Linked DNA regions of Elephas maximus indicus. Each later gene encodes a partner of the first gene's protein in a complex. Links are inferred from orthologs where the notes say so. Each region holds a gene or a part of one and is shown in the gene's direction. Other genes may lie near its edges.

The links. The genes of interacting proteins can lie anywhere in the genome.
Region 2: the proteins of DYDC2 (region 1) and NME5 are in contact, whole or in part, in a cryo-EM structure (PDB 8X2U), measured with the Mus musculus proteins. The link is inferred for Elephas maximus indicus from reciprocal best matches to the Homo sapiens genes DYDC2 and NME5. Residues at the interface, in NP_001347537.1 of Mus musculus: Asp2, Tyr5, Leu6, Cys9, Phe10, Gly13, Leu14, Leu18, Val21, Ala22, Arg23, Val24, Arg25, Pro26, Asp28, Pro29, Ile30, Glu31, Leu33, Ala34, His35, Leu37, Tyr38, Tyr40, Arg41; in NP_542368.2 of Mus musculus: Arg140, Ala145, Val146, Ile147, Ile151, Pro152, Ala156, Ala157, Tyr160, Ile161, Tyr164, Val165, Thr168, Leu169, Leu173, Leu176, Cys177, Lys180, Pro181, Asp183, Pro184, Tyr185, Leu186, Leu188, Ala189, Asp190, Leu192, Met193, Asn196, Pro197.

Annotation. Positions count from the first base shown.
Region 1 is NC_064826.1:131,929,982-131,940,159, reverse strand, and holds the start of DYDC2 (DPY30 domain-containing protein 2), read left to right. Parts: upstream 1-5,446; 5' UTR 5,447-5,625; intron 5,626-5,821; 5' UTR 5,822-5,942; coding exon 5,943-6,019; intron 6,020-6,962; coding exon 6,963-7,119; intron 7,120-7,419; coding exon 7,420-7,542; intron 7,543-10,178. Other genes in the region: DYDC1 (DPY30 domain-containing protein 1), read right to left, coding at 109-210, 659-805.
Region 2 is NC_064820.1:151,199,971-151,210,081, reverse strand, and holds the start of NME5 (nucleoside diphosphate kinase homolog 5), read left to right. Parts: upstream 1-6,306; 5' UTR 6,307-6,330; intron 6,331-6,375; exon of another isoform or gene 6,376-6,745; 5' UTR 6,746-6,789; coding exon 6,790-6,918; intron 6,919-10,111. Other genes in the region: bromodomain-containing protein 8-like, read left to right, coding at 1,421-1,510, 2,103-2,171, 4,254-4,431, 5,001-5,051. UniProt on the Homo sapiens protein: Functions as part of axonemal radial spoke complexes that play an important part in the motility of sperm and cilia. Does not seem to have nucleoside diphosphate kinase (NDPK) activity.

The DNA of each region.
Region 1 (10,178 bases):
GCTAAGCAAGTAACCAGGGACAGGTAGTCTTTCAAAGTTTCAGTGTATCACACAAGGCTGAAAGCCCTAATTCCACAGACACCTGTGAACTCATCTTACTTGTCTCACCTGCTGAAACATGAGCTCCTCTGCTTTGAGCCTCTCCATCATCTCCTGTTCCAAAAGAGCTAACTCTCTTTCACGCTCCAACTCGGCCATTTCCTTTTCTTTCTAGCATTGTTTAAAAGCAATATCATATGATTAATAAGAGAAAAAACAGTTTGTAAAAACATTTTTGAAATCATTTAAGTTACCAACAATAGGGAAAGAGTTAAGCAAATTATAGTCTATTAATCTGGAAAATCTATAATTACTTGGGAAGATGTTATTTTATTTGAGCGAAGCATAAAATTAAAATTATACATTGAGTATGATCACAAGTATGTAAAAAAATCTACAGACAAATGTGTGGAAAAAAGAATAAATGAAAATACATAAAAATATAAATAGAGGTCTTCTTTGGGTATTGTTTTTGTTTTTCATGTTGTCTAAGTTTTTGTATAATGAATATATTATTTTTATAATGGAAAGAAGAAAAAATACTGAACTTTAAAAAAAGCAGACAAATTGGACCAATTATTTTACTCTTCTAATTTTCTAAAAGGAAAGCAATACTTACCATTTGTTCCATGGTCACATTTTCCTTATACTTGTAAATCCACAATGCCAAATACTCTATTGGATCCACTGGGCGAATTCTTGCCACTTCTGCAAGACCCTGAGTTAGACATGTCCCAAGGTGTTTCTGAAGATAGAGTGACTCCATTTCTAACTCCTAAATATAAATGCCTAAAAAAATAAATGTTTTGAATCAGTGCAGGAAATTTCCGATTAAGGCACCAAACCAAAAAAAAAAAAAAAAAAACCACCTGGTCAAGCCGATTCTGACTTACAGTAACCCCACAGTGTTCCCAAGACTGTAAATCGCTATGGAAGAGGATTGCCACATATTTCTCCCTCGGAGTTGCTGGTGGTTTCAAACCTCCGACCTTTTAGTTAGCAGTCAATTGCTTTAACCACTGCGCCACCAGGGCTCCAATTAAGGCACAGTAAGACAATCAAGCCCATGGAAGCAGCAGTCAAGAAATCAAAAGACACACTGCATTGGGCAAATCTATTAAAAAAGACCTCTTTAAAATGTTGAAAACCAAAAATGTCACCTTGAACACTAAGGTGCACCTGACCCAAGCCATGGCATTTTCAATCGCCTTATATGGATGCAAAATCTGGATGATAAATAAGGAAGGCCAAAGAAGAATTGGCCAAAGAAATCTTGGCAAAGAATATTGAAATACCATGGACTGTCAAAAGAACAAACAAATCTGTCTTGAAAGAAGTACAACCAGAATGCTCCTTAGAAGCAAGGATGGTGAGACTACGTCTTACATATTTTGGACATGTTATCAGCAAAAATCAATCCCTGGAGAAGGACATCACGCTTGGTAAAGCAGAGGATCAGAGAAAAAGAGGAAGACCTTCAATGAGATTGACTGACACAGTGGGTGCAACAATGAATTCAAGCATAACAATTGTGAGAATGGTGCAGAACCAGGCAGTGTTTTGTTCTATTGTACCTAGGGTCCCTATGAGTCGGAACTGACTTGAGACGGCACCTAACAACAATAGTAAAGTCCAGCAGGCCAACAATGTATTATACCCTATCACCAGTCATTGATGCCTACCATCAGAGATGTTACAAGCATGCTGGCCCCAGGAAACTTCTAAGAGTTTCCAAAAAGCTTCTACAGAAGTCACTACAACTAAAATATTTTCAAAATCCTGATGAGCCCTCAAGCCCCAGAGAGAGAAAAGGGATACTGATTATTACTATTGCAATTATTATTTATTGCAAGAAGACTGTATACCAAGCAACGCACTGTCTCACTTAATCCCTACAACTTATCTGAAAAGTGGGTCTCATTATCCCCATTGTGCAGATGAGGAAACCCAGGCACAAAGAGCTTAATTCAACAGTTCGGGATCGAAGAGCTGGCACATAGTGGAGGTGAGATTTGTACCTGCAAGATGTAGAACCACCTTGCAATTTGGCTTTTGTTCTGGGTTCTTGAGAGCTGGACCACACCTGAGGCTAATGAGTGGGGTCTGAGCAGACCAAGAGGGGCCATCTGGGGGTCTGATGTTGACTAAGCCTCAGGAGGGATGAAACAATCTATCATGGCCACTAGTGGAGGCTGATAAGTGTCCTGAACTGAAAGGCTCAGATGAGCTTCCTGGTTGGTGACCATGCATGAGAGAGGGTAACGCTTCCTCTTTGGGACATGGAATCTTCACTTTGTGACACTCCACCTCCACCAGACCTCACCTTATGCGTCTCTTCATTTGTATCCTTTTTGGTTGTAGTAAATCTGTAGTTTTAAGTATGGTACACTCACCATAAGATTCTTTGAGTCATTCCAGCAAATTAACAAATCCACAGGGGCAGTGAGAACCAGCAGGGGCTGGCATCCGCCTATATGAAGGACAGTGTCTAAATTGTGGGGTCTAATCTAGCTTTGGGTGGATAGGTATATGAGAAGGCTGCTGGTCTGAAGGACGGTGTCCATTTGACTTGAGCTCTGACCTACCCCTGGGTGGGTAGGGTTGAAGAGAGCGTGTGCCACTTGGGTGGCTGGCATGCAATGAGGATGGGGAAGTGGGAAGGTGAGGACTAGATCCATTTCCACAATTTGGGGGTTGGATTCATGCTGATCCTTACCATGCAGTTAGCAGAGAAGGTGGAATTTGCTCACTTTGACCCTTGCTTACTGCAGTACGCAACTCTTGATTCCAGAGCCCTCACTCTGACTGAACTAAGATGCTGATTCCAAGCCATGAGAGCCATTTTTATAAAACATCACAATATTCCACCTCTTAAAAAAAAAATTCCATGACTCTCCATGGCCAGTCCTCAAATAACAGCTTAATAGACTCCTGACCATCTGGCCCCAATTCTCCTTTCAGGCGCCTCCAGATCTCTCTGCTGCCCCGACATGTCCTGAACACCCTGCATCTCTGCTGGTCATGCCCTTTTATGGAATTTAGACTCCTCGAAAAAGCTGATGAAATGTGTTCATTATTCAACAAATATATACTGAATGCCTATCAACAATATGGTCCCTGGGTGGCACAAATGGTTTGCACTCAGCTACTAATCAAAAGGTTGGCAGTTCAAACCCACCCAGTGGCACCACAGAAGAAAGGCCTGGTGATCTGCTTCCATAAACACTACAGCCAAGAAAACCCTATGGAGCAATTCTACTCTGCACCACATAGGGTTATCATGGGTCAGAATCAACTTGACAGCAATGGCTTTTTTGTGTGTGTTTGTATTCAACAAATACAAACTGAGGCACCTTGACAGATGCTGGGAATACAAAACACAGTCTCTGCCCTCATGGAGCTTACAGGTGAGTAGGGAAGACAAACATTAATCAAATATTAACATCAATAAATGAATGTAAAATTGAAATTGTCATGAGTACTATGCAAACCAGATAACAGGAGGATTTGACCCAGTTGGAAAAGTCAAGGAGAGCTTTCCTGAGGGGTGATGTTCAAACTAAGATTTGAAGGAACAGTAAAAGTCATCCCAGCAAGGAGAAGCAACAGCCTTCCAGGTATGGGAAAAGGCGCTGGTATAGGAGTGAGCATGCGGTCAACACAGCAAAGAGAAGGCAGAGCCTTCCAGGTAAGAGAAAAGGCGTGGTATAGGAGTTAGTGTACAGGCATGGGGACAGAGTGCCAGGCTGTCCACATCCTGCTCCTAGTCCAATGCACCTGACATTTTATATTAAGATCTCAGAAACACTGACATCCTGAGATCTATGCATAGACCCCCAATACTGCTCTTCTCTCATGCAATGCTGATGGGAGTGCAAAATGGTATGGGGGGAATTTGGCAGACTCTACACATGTCTTCTCTGCGACCCCACAATCTCACTCTGGGATCCTAGCTCAAAGATCCTAGCTCAAAGATACACCTGTAAAAATACGAAACGACATATGCACGAGGTTATTTTGCACCACTGCTTAGAATAGCCAAAGACTGGGAAACTACTCAATTATTCATCAACAGGAGATCGATGATACACAGCAACACCATCAATTACTATGCAGATGTAAAAGAATGAGGAAGACCTCTAAAACAGGGAGGGACATTCAGGACATTAACAAAGCAAGGTGCAGCAAGTATATATAGCATGCCATCCTTTGTATTAGCAACAGCAGTGAGAAAGGAATGCCGTGTGTGTAAAAATTAAAAACTCTACAGACCAAAAGCAAACTGGTACAAATGAACCTAACTCCCCATCAGGTTGGCACTGGTGTCCTAACCACACAGGGAAAAGATTACAGCTGACTTTGGAACACAGTATCTTCACTGTACTTCTCTAAAAACAGAAGAAACTACAAAGATATCTCAACTTCATTTGAAGTGGAGTAACATAAAAGAGGGAAGGGCCTCCTGCCGCTGCTCCTCAAAAATAAAACACGCGGGAAGGGGGCAGGGTCCCTAATGCGGGAGATTAAGAGTAGGAACGGGTCCACGGTGTGCTGCAGCCCATCATCAGTGGGACTTGGGCGGGGCTCGTCACCTCACTTGGCATCTGTTCCCTGTCCACGAAATGGTGATAGTACCCATTTCACAGAGTTGTTGAAAGGAATGCTATTTTTCATATACACCAATAGGCAGCATCTTGGATCAAAAGAAGAAAGCCCCTTCCCACAGAAACAGCCGCCTCAAATCTGGAGAAGGTGCCACAAGAGACAGACTGAGATGCCTCGCCCAAACCAGGGAGACAGATCCAGGTAGGGCTGCCAGATTAAGCAAATAAAAATACAGGACACCCAGTGAAATTTGAATGTCAGCTAAACAGCGAATAATTTTGTATTACACTATATCCATTTCCGTCCAGTCGAATTCCGACTCATAGCTACCCTATAGCACAGAGTAGAGCTGCCCCACAGGGTTTCCAAAGAGTGGCTGGTGCATTCCAACTGTCGACCTTTTGGTTAGCAGCCGAGCTCTTAATCACTGCGCCACCAGGGTACTGAAATGTTTTTCGTTGTCTATCTGAAGTTCAAATTTAATTGGGCGTCCGGTGTTTTATCTGGCAAATCCCTACACAAGGCGCGCTCCCCGAGGACGAGGGAGGAAGAGGAGGAGGAGGAAGAGCAGCTGGCAAACGGGACCCCAGGTGCGGAGCTAACCCTCACATGGCCTTTGGGCGCCCCCTTAGCCCTAGGCTCCTAGCAACGTCTGTCAGAACCGCCTCTGCCCGCTGCGACCCAAGGAAAGTGGGACGAACCTTTCTCGGACCACTGCGCCTGCGTTCTCGATGCGCACGCCGCACGCACGCGCCGAACTCCTGCCGGCTATCCGCGTCCCGTCGCTAGGCAGCAAACTCGCGCACCCCAGAAGCCAAAGGGAGCGCGCCACAGAGAGGAGAAGCGCGCGGGTGGGTGAGCCCAGGAGCGCGCGAAAGGGCGAGGAGCACGACATAAAGAGGAGGCGGTGCGCACGCGAGCGCGCGCGGGGTGGAGGGATGCGGCATAGACACTGTGAGGAGCGTCGGAGGAGCAGAGGAAGTGAGCTGAGGGATTCTGGGAGAGGAAGGGTTGGTGGGCTCCGGGAGAAGCAGGGAGGGGCGCCTGCTTAGGGTAAGTGCTTTCTCCAGGTAGTCAACTCCACGGCAACTGGTTTGATTTTATGTACTAGTCACCATGTATTATCTCTTTTGATCCTCTCAATTTTTGAGGTACATTTGTTATTTCTCTTTTACAGATGAGGAAGCGGGAGCTCAGATAAACTGACTTGCTGAAGATCACAGGAGAACCAGGACTGGAACTTGGTCTGGTTCCACAGTCTACGTTCATACTGCCACCGTATACTGCCTCGTAAACGTATGGTGTTACAGGTCTTTGAACCTATTGGTTGGGACGGAACCCCTGCTGAGAGTTTGCATTCTTTACAAGTTCCCAGGTGATGCTAAAGCTGCTGGTTAGGGGCCAGTTCTAAGAGCCACTAGTAGAGCTGTGGTTCTCAAAGCTTATTATACATAAGAATCACCAGGGGATCTTGTTAAAATGTGGATTCTGAATCGTATACCTGGGGCCTGAACGAACTGGTTGGAAGCCAGTATGACCCAGGCTACATTACCTCCAGCTCTCGAAATCTGATTAAAAGTAAATCAAAGGGCAAGTAAATCAAAAGTAAATAAAGTAGTTTTCTGCTTAAGTAGTAGAAAGTGGAGTATAGTATTAGGTGTGGCAGCGCCCTTGACCAGCAGTAGCTGCAGGGCCTGTTAGTTTGCCTCCTCCTGCCCTAGGCTTCTTGTGAAATAAATAAGCCTTTGTATCTGTGGGTTTTATCTGTGTCATAGGAGCCCTGGTGGTGCAGTGGTTAAAGCACTCAGCTGCAAACTTAAAGGTCAGTGGCTCAAGCCCACCAGCTTCTCTGCAGGAAAAAGATATGACAGTCTACTTCCATAAAGATTTACACTCTTGGAAACCCTATGGGGCAGTTCTACTCAGCCCCGTAGGGTTACTGTGAGTCAGAATTGACTCAAGGGCAGTGGGTTCGGGTTTGGATCTAGGTCATAGGTGACTGTGGGTTCCAGTGTCACAAAACCACGGCTCCCTAACCCAAGGGTGTAAGTGTGTAAGTGGAGGCCTGTAGCCATCCCTAACCATCAATGTATTTCCTCTGAGGCCTGATGACCCCCTAGAACCTTTTGTTTGCTGGAGAGCATTAGGAAAAAGCTCACTTGAAGATAAGAGCTACTGGCAAGTCTCCTTTGTTGGCTCTTCTGGGGCAGGGTGGAATCCAGAAACATCTCATATTTATCCTGAAATGAATCATGAGTTGGTTAGAATGTGTCCATTTCTTAAACCAACAGTGGGACTCTGCTTGGATTTTTTCCCAGGCCCCACAGAATGGAAACGGGGTACCTGAAGAGATGCTTTGGAAATTGCCTGGCCCAGGCACTGGCAGAGGTGGCAAAGGTTCGGCCCAGTGACCCAATAGAGTACTTGGCTCACTGGCTTTATCATTATCGGAAAACCACAAAGGCAAAAGAAGAGGTATGTATGTGCACTGGCTCTCCTTTGGGGGGCTTCCAGCTTTCTCTAGAGTAATTCTGGAGCTTGCCTGGGGAGTTTCTTGGCTTGGGCCCAGAAGTGTGGATAGTCTGGGGGCTGCAGAGAGAATCCAACCCAAGGATGCTGTGGAGTTGATGGATTTAGAGCTACTAGGAGAATAAAGCTAGTTATAGGAGCGAGCTGGGCAGGCATGAAGGGCTGAGGTCTGTCAGCAAGGAGGGCGGGCTCTTTTGTACTTGCCACCTGGGTACTGAACTGATTCAGCTCTGTCACATCACCTAGAGCATGCAAGAGAAGACCCAGCTGAAAGAGGAGTATGACAAGAGTCTTCAGGAAACAGAAATGGCAGAAATGGTGAAACAAGGAGAGTATCAAATTCAACAGAAAGATGAAAAGGATCACAAGGTAGGAAGGAGGAAATGAGCACTGGGCACAGACATCACACAAATGGAGACCAGGACGTCAACAAGTAGCCTGCCGCAGTCCAGTGCACGTGAGCCTCCCAGTAGCCCGCCTTTTGCTCTGTAGTTACATACTTACCTGTAAATCAATCTTACAATCCCTGTCTATGAAAAAGAAATCTTAAAGGGCAGTTCCATTTTAGGTTCCAGGAAATACCATTGATGTTATTAGTTTAAAAAATTAGATTTTTAAGAAATCTAATAACTTCACCTGGAAAAATATAGCTTCATACAAGATGCTTTGCCTTCTTTTAAAAATTTGTTTAATATTTTTCAGAAACCAAATATGGTTATCAGTGTATAGTTCAGATATTTTATTTCATGCAAGCTATTTATATATGTATTTTGTTCATTGTGTGCTACTTACTTTTGCACGTACTTACTTTTGCACCAAGCCACAGATGCCTCCTCTATGAAGCTGTAATGTTGAAATAATTGGAAATAATTGTGGACTAGCATATCTTTTATTTTCCACAGTTTTATGGCACAATCTCCTGAACAGTGTCTTGGGTCATTTTATGCATTCTACAAAGTACACCTGAATAGGGAATTGACTTAATTGCAATTTTGGACTTGATACCTGAGATCATTTTAACTATCACTATGTCCTATGAACTGAAATCTTTAATGCAGTCTGTACAATTCACTAGCTTTTGCATAAGCAATGCTAGTTGTATAACCCAGTGCCCATTGCTGTCGAATCTGTTCTGACTCATAGCGACCCTATAGGACAGAGTAGAACTGCCCCACAGAGTTTCCAAGGAGCACTTGGTGGATTCAAACTGCTGACCTTTTGGTTAGGATTTCCAAACCCAACTTTTTTTAAGATGTGAAAACGTTACAAGCTTATGTACATTTATACTAATATGCTCAACTTTCCTAATAACAGTTAAGATTTATTTTTGAAGTCTGGATGTTTTATAAATATATTAAATCAAAAGAAAGATGGTTTCACGCCATTATTTGACATAGTCCAAGGGACCTCTCCCTCTGGGATGATACAGTCTTTGAACAATAATTGGAGGATGGGAGAGATGAGGTCATTTAATAGAAGTTGCCCTCACCTTGCCACCCACTCTAGCCCTTTTCTAACACATGCTTCACTGTTAACAGAAATATATGTAAGGCAGAGAGAGACCCCAAAATGAAATGCCACCCTTGTTTTATGGTGCCTTTACTAAAGAATACTTTGCTCGTGCCAATATTTTGAATTGTCCCCTTGTATTTTTTATTACACTCAGGAGGTTTAAACCCTGTAGCAATATTCCTTAATAATATTTGGATGAGTAAAAGGCATGTCATTCCTTTGCCAGGTGTGAGACAAAAGTAATTGTAAGGAAAAATGGGAAATGAGAGCTAGCACGATGCCTGGACCAAGTGCAAGTTCTCGGTGTTAGGAAAGAGTTTATATGCAAGTTGTAGTTATGGAAATTGATTCCCTTTGTTAGAAAAAAATAAAGAGAATCAAACAGTAATCGAAAACAACAGTGAATTTGCTTACCTGGCAAGGGAGAGCCATGACATTCAGGTGCAAGTTACTCTCCAAGTAAAAGATGAAAAGGCTAGATGAAGGCAAACAGGTGGTCGTTATGTTGTTGTTAGCTGCAGGTCAGAACTGAGTTGGGTCTGACTCATAGCTACCTTATGTACAACAGAAGGAAACATTGCCCAGTCCTTTGCCATCCTCACAATTGTTGCTATGTTTGAGCCCATTGTTGCAGCCACTGTGTCAATCCATCTCATTGAGGGTCTTCCTCTTTTTCATTGACCCTCTACTTTACAAAGCATGATGTCCTTCCCCAATGACTGATCTCTGCCGATAACATGTCCAGAGTACGTGAAACAAAGTCTTGCTGTCCTGTCCTCGCTTCTTAGGAACATTCTGGCTATACTTCCTCCAAGACAGATTTGTTCGTTCTTCTTGTAGTCCATGGTATATTCAGTATTCTTCCCCACCACTGTAATTCAAAGGCATCAATTCTTCTTGGTCTTCCTTATTCGTTGTCGAGCTTTCAAATGCATATGAGGTAATTAAAAATACCATGGCTTGGGTCAGGCACACCTTAGTCTTCAAAGTGACTTCTTTGCTTTTTAACACTTTAAAGAGGTCTTTTGCAGCAGTTTTGCCCAGTGCAATACGTCATTCTTCAGACAGTGTCCTGCTGCTGTTCACAAGGTTTTCAACGGCCAGTTTTTTAGAAGTAAATCACCAGTCCTTCTTGCTAGTCTTTCTTAGTCTGGAAGCTCCACTGAAACCTGTCCACCATGGGTGACCCTACTGATATTTGAAATACTGATGGCATAGCTTCCAGCATCACAGCAACACACAAGCCACCACAGTAAGATAAACTGACAGACGAGTGGTAGAAAGAGGTGAAGGTACATCAAATAAGATGAAATTCTAAATTTTGATTTCTGATTGGCTCATGAAGTGGATTGAAAACGTTTCCTTGCTATTGGTCACCTTCAGATTTGGTGTCACTAGTGCTGGGAAACCTGGGAACCTAGCGTGGGTTACATAAGATTTCAGCATGCCTGCTGTTTTAGCTGGCATAGTGGTTAAGAGTTTGGCTGCTAACC
Region 2 (10,111 bases), on another chromosome or scaffold:
GGATTTTAAGTGCCTTGTTCTATAGAATTCTATAAATAATAAGATTTAAGGATAAGTTAACTATAGATAGTAGGGAAATTTATATGATTTTTGTCATGTGATTTAGATGCAAGTGAGATTTTATATGATTAAAATGAATAGTTACATGGAGATGCTTATATGGGAGAAAGATAATGTCTTAGTTATGTAATGCTGCTATAAGAGAAATATCACAAGTGGGTGGCTTTGAGAAAGAGGAATTTGTTTTCTCACAGTTAGGAGGCCAGAAGTCTGAATTCAGGGCGCCAGCTCTAGGGGAAGGCTTTCTCTCTGTGTCAGCTTTGGAGGAAGGAGCTCTCTTTGAGCTCCTGCTCCTGGACAGCCTTCATGAGGCTTAGCATCTCTCTTCCTCCATCTCTGCTAGCTTGCTAGTTTAATATCTTTTATATCTCAAAAGAGATTGATTCAAGATATACCCTACACTAATCCTGCCTCATTAACATAACAAATGGGATTATAACCACAGGCATAAAGGCTAGGATTTATAACATATTTTGGGGGGGACACAATTCAGTCCAAAACAGATAATGAGATGTGAATTGTACTGCTCAAGTAGACACACACGGTATGGTATATAAAGCAAAATGAGAGTATGCAACCTTAGATGTGAAGAGAGCCTGTTTAGAGGGAAAATGCACTACATAAGGTGGGATTTGTAATTTAATGTTTAAGCAGAAAACTTGGAAATCTAGGAAAATTATGAATGAAATAAAACAGTGTACAAGTTGTACTTCCAAAGAAAATATAAGTAAATTAAACAATTTAGTCCAAGGAAGGAATGGCCGTGAGGAGAAATGAATATTGTATTTTAAGGATTACTTCTGTATAGAGAAGAGCAAAAAGGAAAAGATGTTTAAATTGTGTAGCATTAGGGTAAAACATAAGTGAATTCCTTAGAATGTGAAACCAGTATTTCCTTCTCTGGAAATATGGGAAAGATACTTGCCAATGTGGCATATTCCTGCATAAAAACAAGACCAGATTCATTCATCAAATACATATTAAGCATCTAATATGTGCCAGGCACTTACTGTTACAGGTACTTGGGAAGCATCAGTGGACAAAGACTACCTTCATGCACCGGGTCAGTCACAGGTGCTGAAGAGCAAATCAACAAGAGTTGAAAAGACACAGACAATTGTAGTATTGTAGTTTACATTATAAGAAAGTAACCATTTCACTGAATAACAGTAATAGGTAAGAGAATATTTATTGAGCTTGGGATCCCTTTTAGAAGTATTAAACATATTTTTGTTCCTATGGTGTTCTATTTTTTCAGGATATTTTTTCCTACTATGGCTTGAGAAAACCTCACACCTGGGGGAGGTAGAATACCATTTATGAAGTTACTATCTCTTTTCTGTCATGTTTTGTCCCATAGGTCTGACCTAGGCCAGAATGATCCTGTTCAGGATCATTTACTATTTAAGAAGACTCTCCTGCCAGTCTGGAAGATGATTGCCAGTCACAGGTAGGTATCCAGAGCGGTGATGGGATTATGTTCAGAGCTGAATCGGTGACACAGATTTGGGATTAAGCATAAAAGAAGATGTGTTCATCCCATCATATGATCCATATGATAGGCTTAGATAGAGGCAAATCCTATATCTAAGCCTGTTTTATCCATAAGTCCTCACAGCTGCTTTCACAGGTCTGTATAAGATATAGTTGCTGTGTCATTTGAGTTGCCTATAGAAATTGGTTCCTATTACATGATAAAATTAGTATTTAAAATATATGCTTCCTTCCAATATGGTGGCGCCTCCTTTTCCACAGACATAGGGCCTCAGGGCCTTCAACAAATTTCTGAGCGTTTAATCAGTATATTAGAATTGTAGTTAAATATTTTATACTTTTTTTTTTTTAAATTCTTTTTCTGTTCAGCAAGAATAAACTAATAGTCTTCCATAATGGCACTCAGTCTGCATTTCCCTAAGGAAAGTCTTATAAGAAGTGATCCACACTCTGTAGGTTAAATATTGTCTTCTAGTTCATAGCTGCTCTTCTTATTCAGAATAACTTGCCAGAGTTTCTTCATCCTCTCTGGATTTGTCTCTTACCAGGTTCAGCAGTCCATTTCTGAAGCCTGTGTCAGATAGGCAGGCCCCAGGATACAAAGATGTGGTGAAAAGGTCAGTGGAAAAGGGGTCAAGAAAGGTTGGTTGCTTTTATATCTGTCTTTTAATTCCTTTTTTTTTTTTAAGTTATTTTGTTGTCACTGCTGTTGAGAATATACACAGCAAAAACATACACCAGTTCAAGTTTCTGCATGTATAATTCAGTGACAGTGATTATAGTCTTCAAGCTGTGCAATCATTCTCACTCTCCTTTTCTGAGTTGTTCCTCCCCCAGTAACATAAACGCACTGCCGTCTAAGGTTCCTATCTGATCTTTCAAGTTGCTGTTATCAGTTTGAACCCATATAGATAGATCTCAAAAGAGCATAAGGTTCAAGGCAGACATTCTTTACTAGTTAAGCTAAACTATCATTTGGTTTTAAGAAGACTTCAGGGGATATTTTTGGTTTAAGGTTTAACTATTATCTCCGGGCGATAGTTTCAGGAGTTCATCTAGCCTCAATGGCTCCAGAAAGTATGGATTCCATGAGAATTTGAAATTCTGTTCTGCATTTTGATCAGGATTCTTCTATAGGATATTAGATCAAAACGTTCAGTAATGGTAGCCAGGCACCATCCAGTTCTTCTGGTCTCATGGCAAAGGAGGCAGTTGTGCATGGAGGCAGTTAGCTGCACATTCCGTTTCTTCCTCCTACTCCTGACTTTCCTTCTTTCTGTGTTTTTCCAGGTGAATAGAGACCAATTGTTGTGCCTTGGATAGTGTCTTTTCATTCTTCATTTCTCATCTATTAGATAATTTCTTTACTTCAGCTAAAAACGTAAAGTTATGGTTAGCTTGGTCTTTTCATTTGAGAAGGAATGAAGGGAACAAAAGGATACTCTAATTTTTGTTTTTTGGAGTTTTTTTTCCCCCATATTTTTAAGTAATATGATCCATTTATTATAATCTCACCATTAGCCTTTGGTAGATTTTGATAGTGTTCTTTTGGAGCAGAACTTGAAAAGGAAAGCTGTATGACCAGGCAGTTATATAAGTATTCTAAGGCAGATACGGTAATCCAAAGGGATGTTACTAACACTGGTTGTTTGCAGTATTTTGAATTTTGATAGCATAGTATATTTAAAGCACTGTTGTAAACCAGTGTGTTTATTAATAGAGTATAGAAGATCAGAAAGGGACCTTTGGAAAAAAACACTTCATATTAAATGTAAGGAAACTAAGGCTTAGAGGTGGTCCTGACTTATAGTTAATAGCAGAGCTAGAACTAAACCCCAAATTCTTACCTCCCAGTTTAGTCCTCTTTCTACACTGTTGTGCCTTCTCTTACATACCCACTATCTCTGCCTCATTGAATAATAATTTATCTTATTTACCTGATTCTCATTCTTTTTACTCCCATGAAAGGAGAAAAAAAAATTAGCTTTGATTTATACAATAATAAAAGTAGATTAATTACCTAGTATAAGATTGTACATTGTAAACAGTCAGTCAGTAACTAGTATGTGACAAACTGACCATCGGATTCTTTACAGCTTTGGTACCTAGGGCTAGCTTTCCTGCTGTGATGCTGTTGTTGTTGTGTGCCATTGATTCTGACTCACAGCGACCATACATAACAGAGAAGAACTGCCTCATAGGGTTTCCTTGGCTATAATCTTTATGGCAGCAGATTGCCAGGGCTTCTCTTCTGCAGAGCCACGAGATGGGTTTGAACCACCAAGCTTCTGGTTAGCAGCCACGTGCACCGCCAGGGCTCCATTCTGCTATGATAGTTGAGTGAAACGCCTGGGCTTGTGGGTTCTGGAGTCAGGCTGCCTTTGAACTGGAATCCAGGCTATGTGACTTTGGACAAGTACTTAACCTCTTTAGATCTCAGTTTCATCTGTCAAGTGGGGATAATACTTACCTTATAAGTTTATTGAGAAGATTGAGTTAATATATAAAGCGCCTAGCATAATGCTTGGTCTCTTGAAAGCAGTCAAATATTAGCTGCTGTTGTTATTTTATTATCTGGTGGGTTTGTTATTTTTACTATTATTCATTAAGAGCTGGTTAGTTCTCCAAGAGAACATGTTAGGTTCCACATATTCCACATGAATGTTTGATTTCCCCTGGTTTCTCTTGGCCACCTGCAGACCCATGGACTTAACTAGCTTGAAGAGAAATCTGTCTAAGGGACAGATTCGCACCATGGCCCAGTTTCAGCGGGATCTGATGCTGATGTTCCAAAATGCTGTGATGTACAATGACTCTGACCATCATGTGTACCACATGGCTGTGGAGATGCAGCGAGAAGTCTTGGAACAGATTCAGGTACTATATTTAGAGAACTGCAGGAAAAAGGAATATAGCCTCTGGAATCTAATTTCAGAAAGTCTTTGAGAATAAGGTTGATACTGAGATGACCTGGTGTTCCCAGAGTTTATTTATCTTTAGGGATAAATCAGGGCCCTGAAGGAAGGATTGACATTGTGCATACTGACTTGGAACACCCCGAGCTCTAATAAATTAGCAAGTGAAGTAGTCCAGAAAGGCAGGCAGCAGCGAAGAGCTCTCAGGAGAGCTGGGGATAGATAAGTAATGGGAGATCCTGCATCTAGAGCCTCAAGTCAGAGGCGTAGATGTGTAAACCAGCGGCTAGAGTCACTGGCCATTTTTGGATTACTACATCTGTTGATATTAATGTACTTTCACACTGTCCCATCTTTAGCAGATAAGACATAGTAGCCAGATGAGGACATTTGAGAATTTCTTTCTGGGCAGCATCATACTTTAAAGAAAGAAGTACAGTCAAATTTATATGCAGAAGAAGAAATAAATTGCATTTAAATCTCTGTAGCTTTTAAGATTCATAGCTTGCTCTCTGTGCCTTGACCCTGTAGGTGCTGAGTATTTGGTTAGATAAAAGAAGAGATCTAAGTAGTCTGGAATGACAACCAACCAACCTGGTGGATGATGGGAAACCTATTTTGTTAACCTGGAGCTGCTACCCTGATCTCTTCTGGAGTTTGGACCTCTTCTTAAGACTCTGATCCAGAGAAGATTTCAGTAGTTGTTTACCACTTCTCCATTTTCTTTTCTAATAAAATTAAGACCTTTAACTCATTACCAAGGAGTCAAAGATGCCTGTGAACATACTATAAAGAAAAGAGGAAAGCTGAAATTTGGGTTTATGCCACAATTGTTGCCTACAACTTTGTTCTACAAGCTTAATTTAGAGGTAACTAGATTAAGCCTGTTATTGCTGATCTATAAATAAATGTTATTTCACAAACCTCAGACTATTTTAATGATTAAAGAAACCAGGATAAAGAGGATAGCACAGTCTGTGAAATGAAGAAGATACTTGATAGGGGTTTTCTTACATATACTGTCTGGAACGGGGTGGGGTGGGGTTGGGGGAGATCTTTGATTTGTCTTCTCATTTGTAAAACCAAAAAACAAACAAACCAACCTGTTGAGTTGATTCCGACTCATAGTGACTCTGTAGGACAGAGTAGAACTATCCCATGGGGTTTCCAAGGCTATAATCTTTACGGGAGCAGACTGCCACATCTTTCTCTTGTGGCAGTTAACTGCCGAGCTCATAACCACTGCACCACCAGCGCTCTTCCTCATTTGTAAAGTTAGAATAATTGAAGCATCCCTCAAATAAGTAGGAAGAAGAAATAAGATAATTATGAAGAAAATGTAAAAACAACAGCAAAAAAAAAAAAAAAAAACCCAAAAAGTGTAGTGCTCTTGGAACAGATTCAAGTACTGTATGTGGAGAACTGCAGGAAAAAAGGAGTATAGCCTCTGGAATCTGATTTCTGAGTCTTTGAAAATAAGGATGATACTGAGATGACCTTGTGTTCCCAGAGTTTGTGTTTAGGGGTGATTCAAGGCCCTGAAGGACTGACATTGTGCCTACTGGTTTGGAAAGCCCTGAGCCTCAGTAGGTCCAGCACTAATAAGTTGTGAAGTGAAGTAGTACAGGAAGGCAGGCAGCAGTGGAAAGCCTTCAGGAACGGGAGGTCCTTCTTCTACAGCCTCAAGTCAGAGGGCTAGACCTACAAAAACGTCTGGGGCTAGTTCCCTTTCTTGGTTAAAAGAAACCAGGCAAGCGTGGAAGAACTGCTAGAATTGGCCCTCTGCAGCCACCATCCGGGAGCTGGGGCTTCTGGTCTCCTAGCAACAACTTGTGGTCACTGAGTTGGGTGCGGTGCTGTGGTGAGTGCCTCCGGTGGGTGCAGCCCAGAGGGGTCCTGAGGACCCTGCTTTTCAGTCAGTCCTGGCTCTAAATAAGCAGTCCTCCCTGTGGGGAGGAATTGCTTCTTTCAGGCAGCCAGCCAGTAGAGGCTGCCCACCCTTCCATGCCCCTGCTCCCGCTCCCGCCCCTGGCCTCCGCCCCGCGCGTCTGCCACAGTCCCAGGCCTTCGGGCAGCCCCTCGGTCCTTCTCTCGGTGAATGCCTTACAAAAACCCAAGGCATGACCTGGACGCAGAATAGAAATATCACTGGAACAATGCTTATAGAAAAATATATGGCCATTTCGGACTTTATAAACGAAAATCAAGCACCTGATATTGCTATTCTTAATCACAATTACATTAATTTTGGGGTGGGTGGGGTACTGTCATTGCAGTTGATACCTGTCAAGAAACTATTAAATTACTCTGAAAAGCCAAGATGGAGATATCAATGCCCCCACCTCAGATATATGTAGAAAAAACTCTGGCCATTATCAAACCAGATATTGTTGACAAAGAGGAGGAGATACAAGACATTATTCTTAGATCTGGATTCACCATTGTTCAGGTAACTTCTGGGCAGGGTGATCGTGCTTTTGGCTCTTTTTTATCCTTTTTTTTATGTAAATAACACTAATCCATTTAGATCCTTAGTGCTTAGCATTAATTTTTGTAGTTATAAAAGTAGCACGTGATAGTTGTAAAAAGCTTTTTTTTCATGGTTCAGAAGGATATAAAATGAGAAATAAAAGTCGGTTTTCTTTCCCTCCAACCCCAAGTCCCAGTCTCCAGAGGCAACCACTGTTAACACTTTCTGTTCTTCCAGGGATTATCTATGCATTTACAAATATTTTTCCCTCTTAAAAGGGAATAGTTTCTTTCCCTTGACCCCCTTAACAAAGTCCCTTAGCACTCCGGATATATATCTGAATCTATCTCATTCGTCCTATTTACAACTTCTGTGTAATATTCCTCTGTATGGATGAACCGTAATTTATTTACTTTTAAAAGTTCTCTGTTGATGGTCTCTTAGGTTGTTGGTATTTCTTCAGTTAGTATTTTTCATTACAAACATTTAAGGTTTTAAAGCCTTGTATTTGTTCTGCAGTTGGTAAACACTGTCATTTTAGAGACTTGGAAATGAATATAAAAAGAGTATTGCTGAAGATTATCAAATAGAATTGAATATTTTTAATCTTCCTTTTTGTTCCATCCTTTCTTGAATTTCCAGTTTTTTATTCTCTTACATTTATACAGTGTTATGTTCCCTGTTTAGTCAGTGTTTTAAAAAAGAGAAAACTTCAGTTTTCAGGAAATATATAGGATTTCAGTTGAGCTTCAAAGAATAGGTATAGAGGCCAAAAGTAGGGGTGGTGTAAGAAAAAAGTAAGGAAACAGTACAGGAAACAGTAAGGAAATATGTAATATAATTAATAGAACTTTTTAATAAACAGTGTTAGGAAAACTGGGTAGCCATTTTTTTAAAAGTAGAATTCAAATATTATATACTTGGATAGACTCCAAATGGATCTGAGATTTAAATATTTAAAACTTAAACCGTATAAGGTTTAGAAGAAAAGAGGGATGAATTTCTTCTTATCTTTGCAGTGGGATAGCCTTTTTTCCTATGACTTAAAGTTTAGGAGCCATAAGAGAAAAGCTTGGTAAGACTACATAAAATTTGAAAACTTCTGCATGGCCAAATAAACCCCATACGCAAGGTCAAAACACAAAATGACAAACTTGGAAAAAAGATTTGCAACTCGTATCATGAAGTACCGATCTCCATAATGTATAATGTGTTCCTAGAAAAGATTAACAGTAGAAAGATGCATAGAGCACATGGATGGTCACAGAAAAAAGAAAAACAAATGGTTTTTGTTGTAGGTGCCGCCGAGTTGATAATCGACTCATAGCGACCCCATGTGACAACGTAGAGCTGCCCCATAGGGTTTTCTAAGCTCTGATCTTTATGGGAGCAGATTGCCAGGTCTTTTCATCAGAGCTGCTGGGTGGGTTTGAACCACCAACCTTTTGGTCAGTAGCCGAGTGCTTAACCATTGTGCCACCAGGGTTTCTTAAATGTGTAAAAAGATGCCCAACCTCTTAGTAGGAAAAAGTGAATTAAAACTATACTGAGATACCATTTGGCTAAACTCTAAATGGCACAACCCCTCTTGAAGGGAATTTGGCAATTATCTACCAAGATTACAGATGCATTTACTCTTTGACTCAGTAGTCCTACTCTTGGGAATCCCTCCTATAGAAACTCTTGTGTTAACATGAAATGGCATGCATACAGGTTATTTTTTGCAGTGTTATTTATTTAGTATAGTCCTACTCTGACACGCATGGGGTTGCCATGAATTGAAATTGATTCAACAGCAGCTGGTTCAATTTTTTTGTTTTATTTACTAGTGAAAGATTGAACACAATCCAGCAGTAGGAGATTGGTTAAACAAACCCTGGTGAATCCACCAAATTGAGTACTGTGCAACTCAGTGTAAAAAGAATAAAGAACCTGTGTGTGTGCTGTTATGGAAAAAAGCAAGGTGCAGAACTGTGTGTGGCAACCTTTTGTGAAAGAGGAAGTGTAACATTCTTGTTTGCCAGTATTTGCAAAATGAAGTACTGAGAAATAAATTTAAAAAAAGGTTGCCTATTGAGGTGAGAGAGAAACAGGGTGGATTAGAATGAGATTTTTCAGTACATATCTTTTTATACTGTTTTGGTTTTTTGAACCTTGTTATTGGTGGTTCAGTAGTAAAATTCTCCCCTTCCGTGCAGGAGACCCAGGTTCAATTTCTTGTCAGTGTACCTCATGTGCACTGGGAGCCTACGCATTGCTATGATACTGAATAGATTTCAGTGGAGCTTCCAGACTAAAACAGACTAGTAAGAAAGACCTGGCAATCTACTCCTGAAAATCAGCCAATGAAAACCCTATAGATCATGTCAGGGATTGAATTGTGCACCCCCCCTCAAATGTGTGTCAGTTTGGTTAGGCCATGATTCCCAGTATTGTGTGGTTGCATTCCATTTTGTGACTGGTTTGATTTTCCTATGTGTTGTAAATCCTAATCCCTGCCTGTGGTTAATGAGGCAAGATTAGATTATGTTAAAGAGGATTAGGGTGGCATGTAACACTCTTCCTCAGGTGACATCCCTGATCCAATGTAAAGGAGTTTCCTTGGGGTGTGGGCTGCATCACCTTTTATCCTACAAGAGATAAAAAGGAAGTGAGCAGAGAGTTGGGGACCTCATACCACCAAGAAAGCAGCACTGGGAACAGAGCGAGTCCTTTGGACCTGGGGTTCCTGCATGGAAAAGCCCCTAGACCAGGGGAAGATTGATGACAAAGACCTTCCCCCAGAGCTGACAGTGAGAGAAAGCCTTGCCCTGGAGCTGGCACCCTGAATTTGGACTTCTAGCACCCTAGACTGTGAGAGAATAAATTTCTCTTTGTTAAAGCCATCCGCTTGTGGTATTTCTGTATTAGCAGCACTAGATAACTAAGACAGATCACAACGACCAGATCTACAACTGATCATGGGAATGGCTTAGGACCAGGTAGTGTTTTAAGCTGTTGTGCGTGAGGTGGCCACGAGTCAGGGTCTGACTCAATGGCAGCTACCAAGTATCAAAAAAACCACTGCCATGGAGTCTCTTCTGACTCAGTGACCCTGTAGGACAGAGTAGAACTGCCCTCTAGGGTTTCTAAGGTTGTAATCTTCACGGAAGCAGACTGCAACATCTTTCTC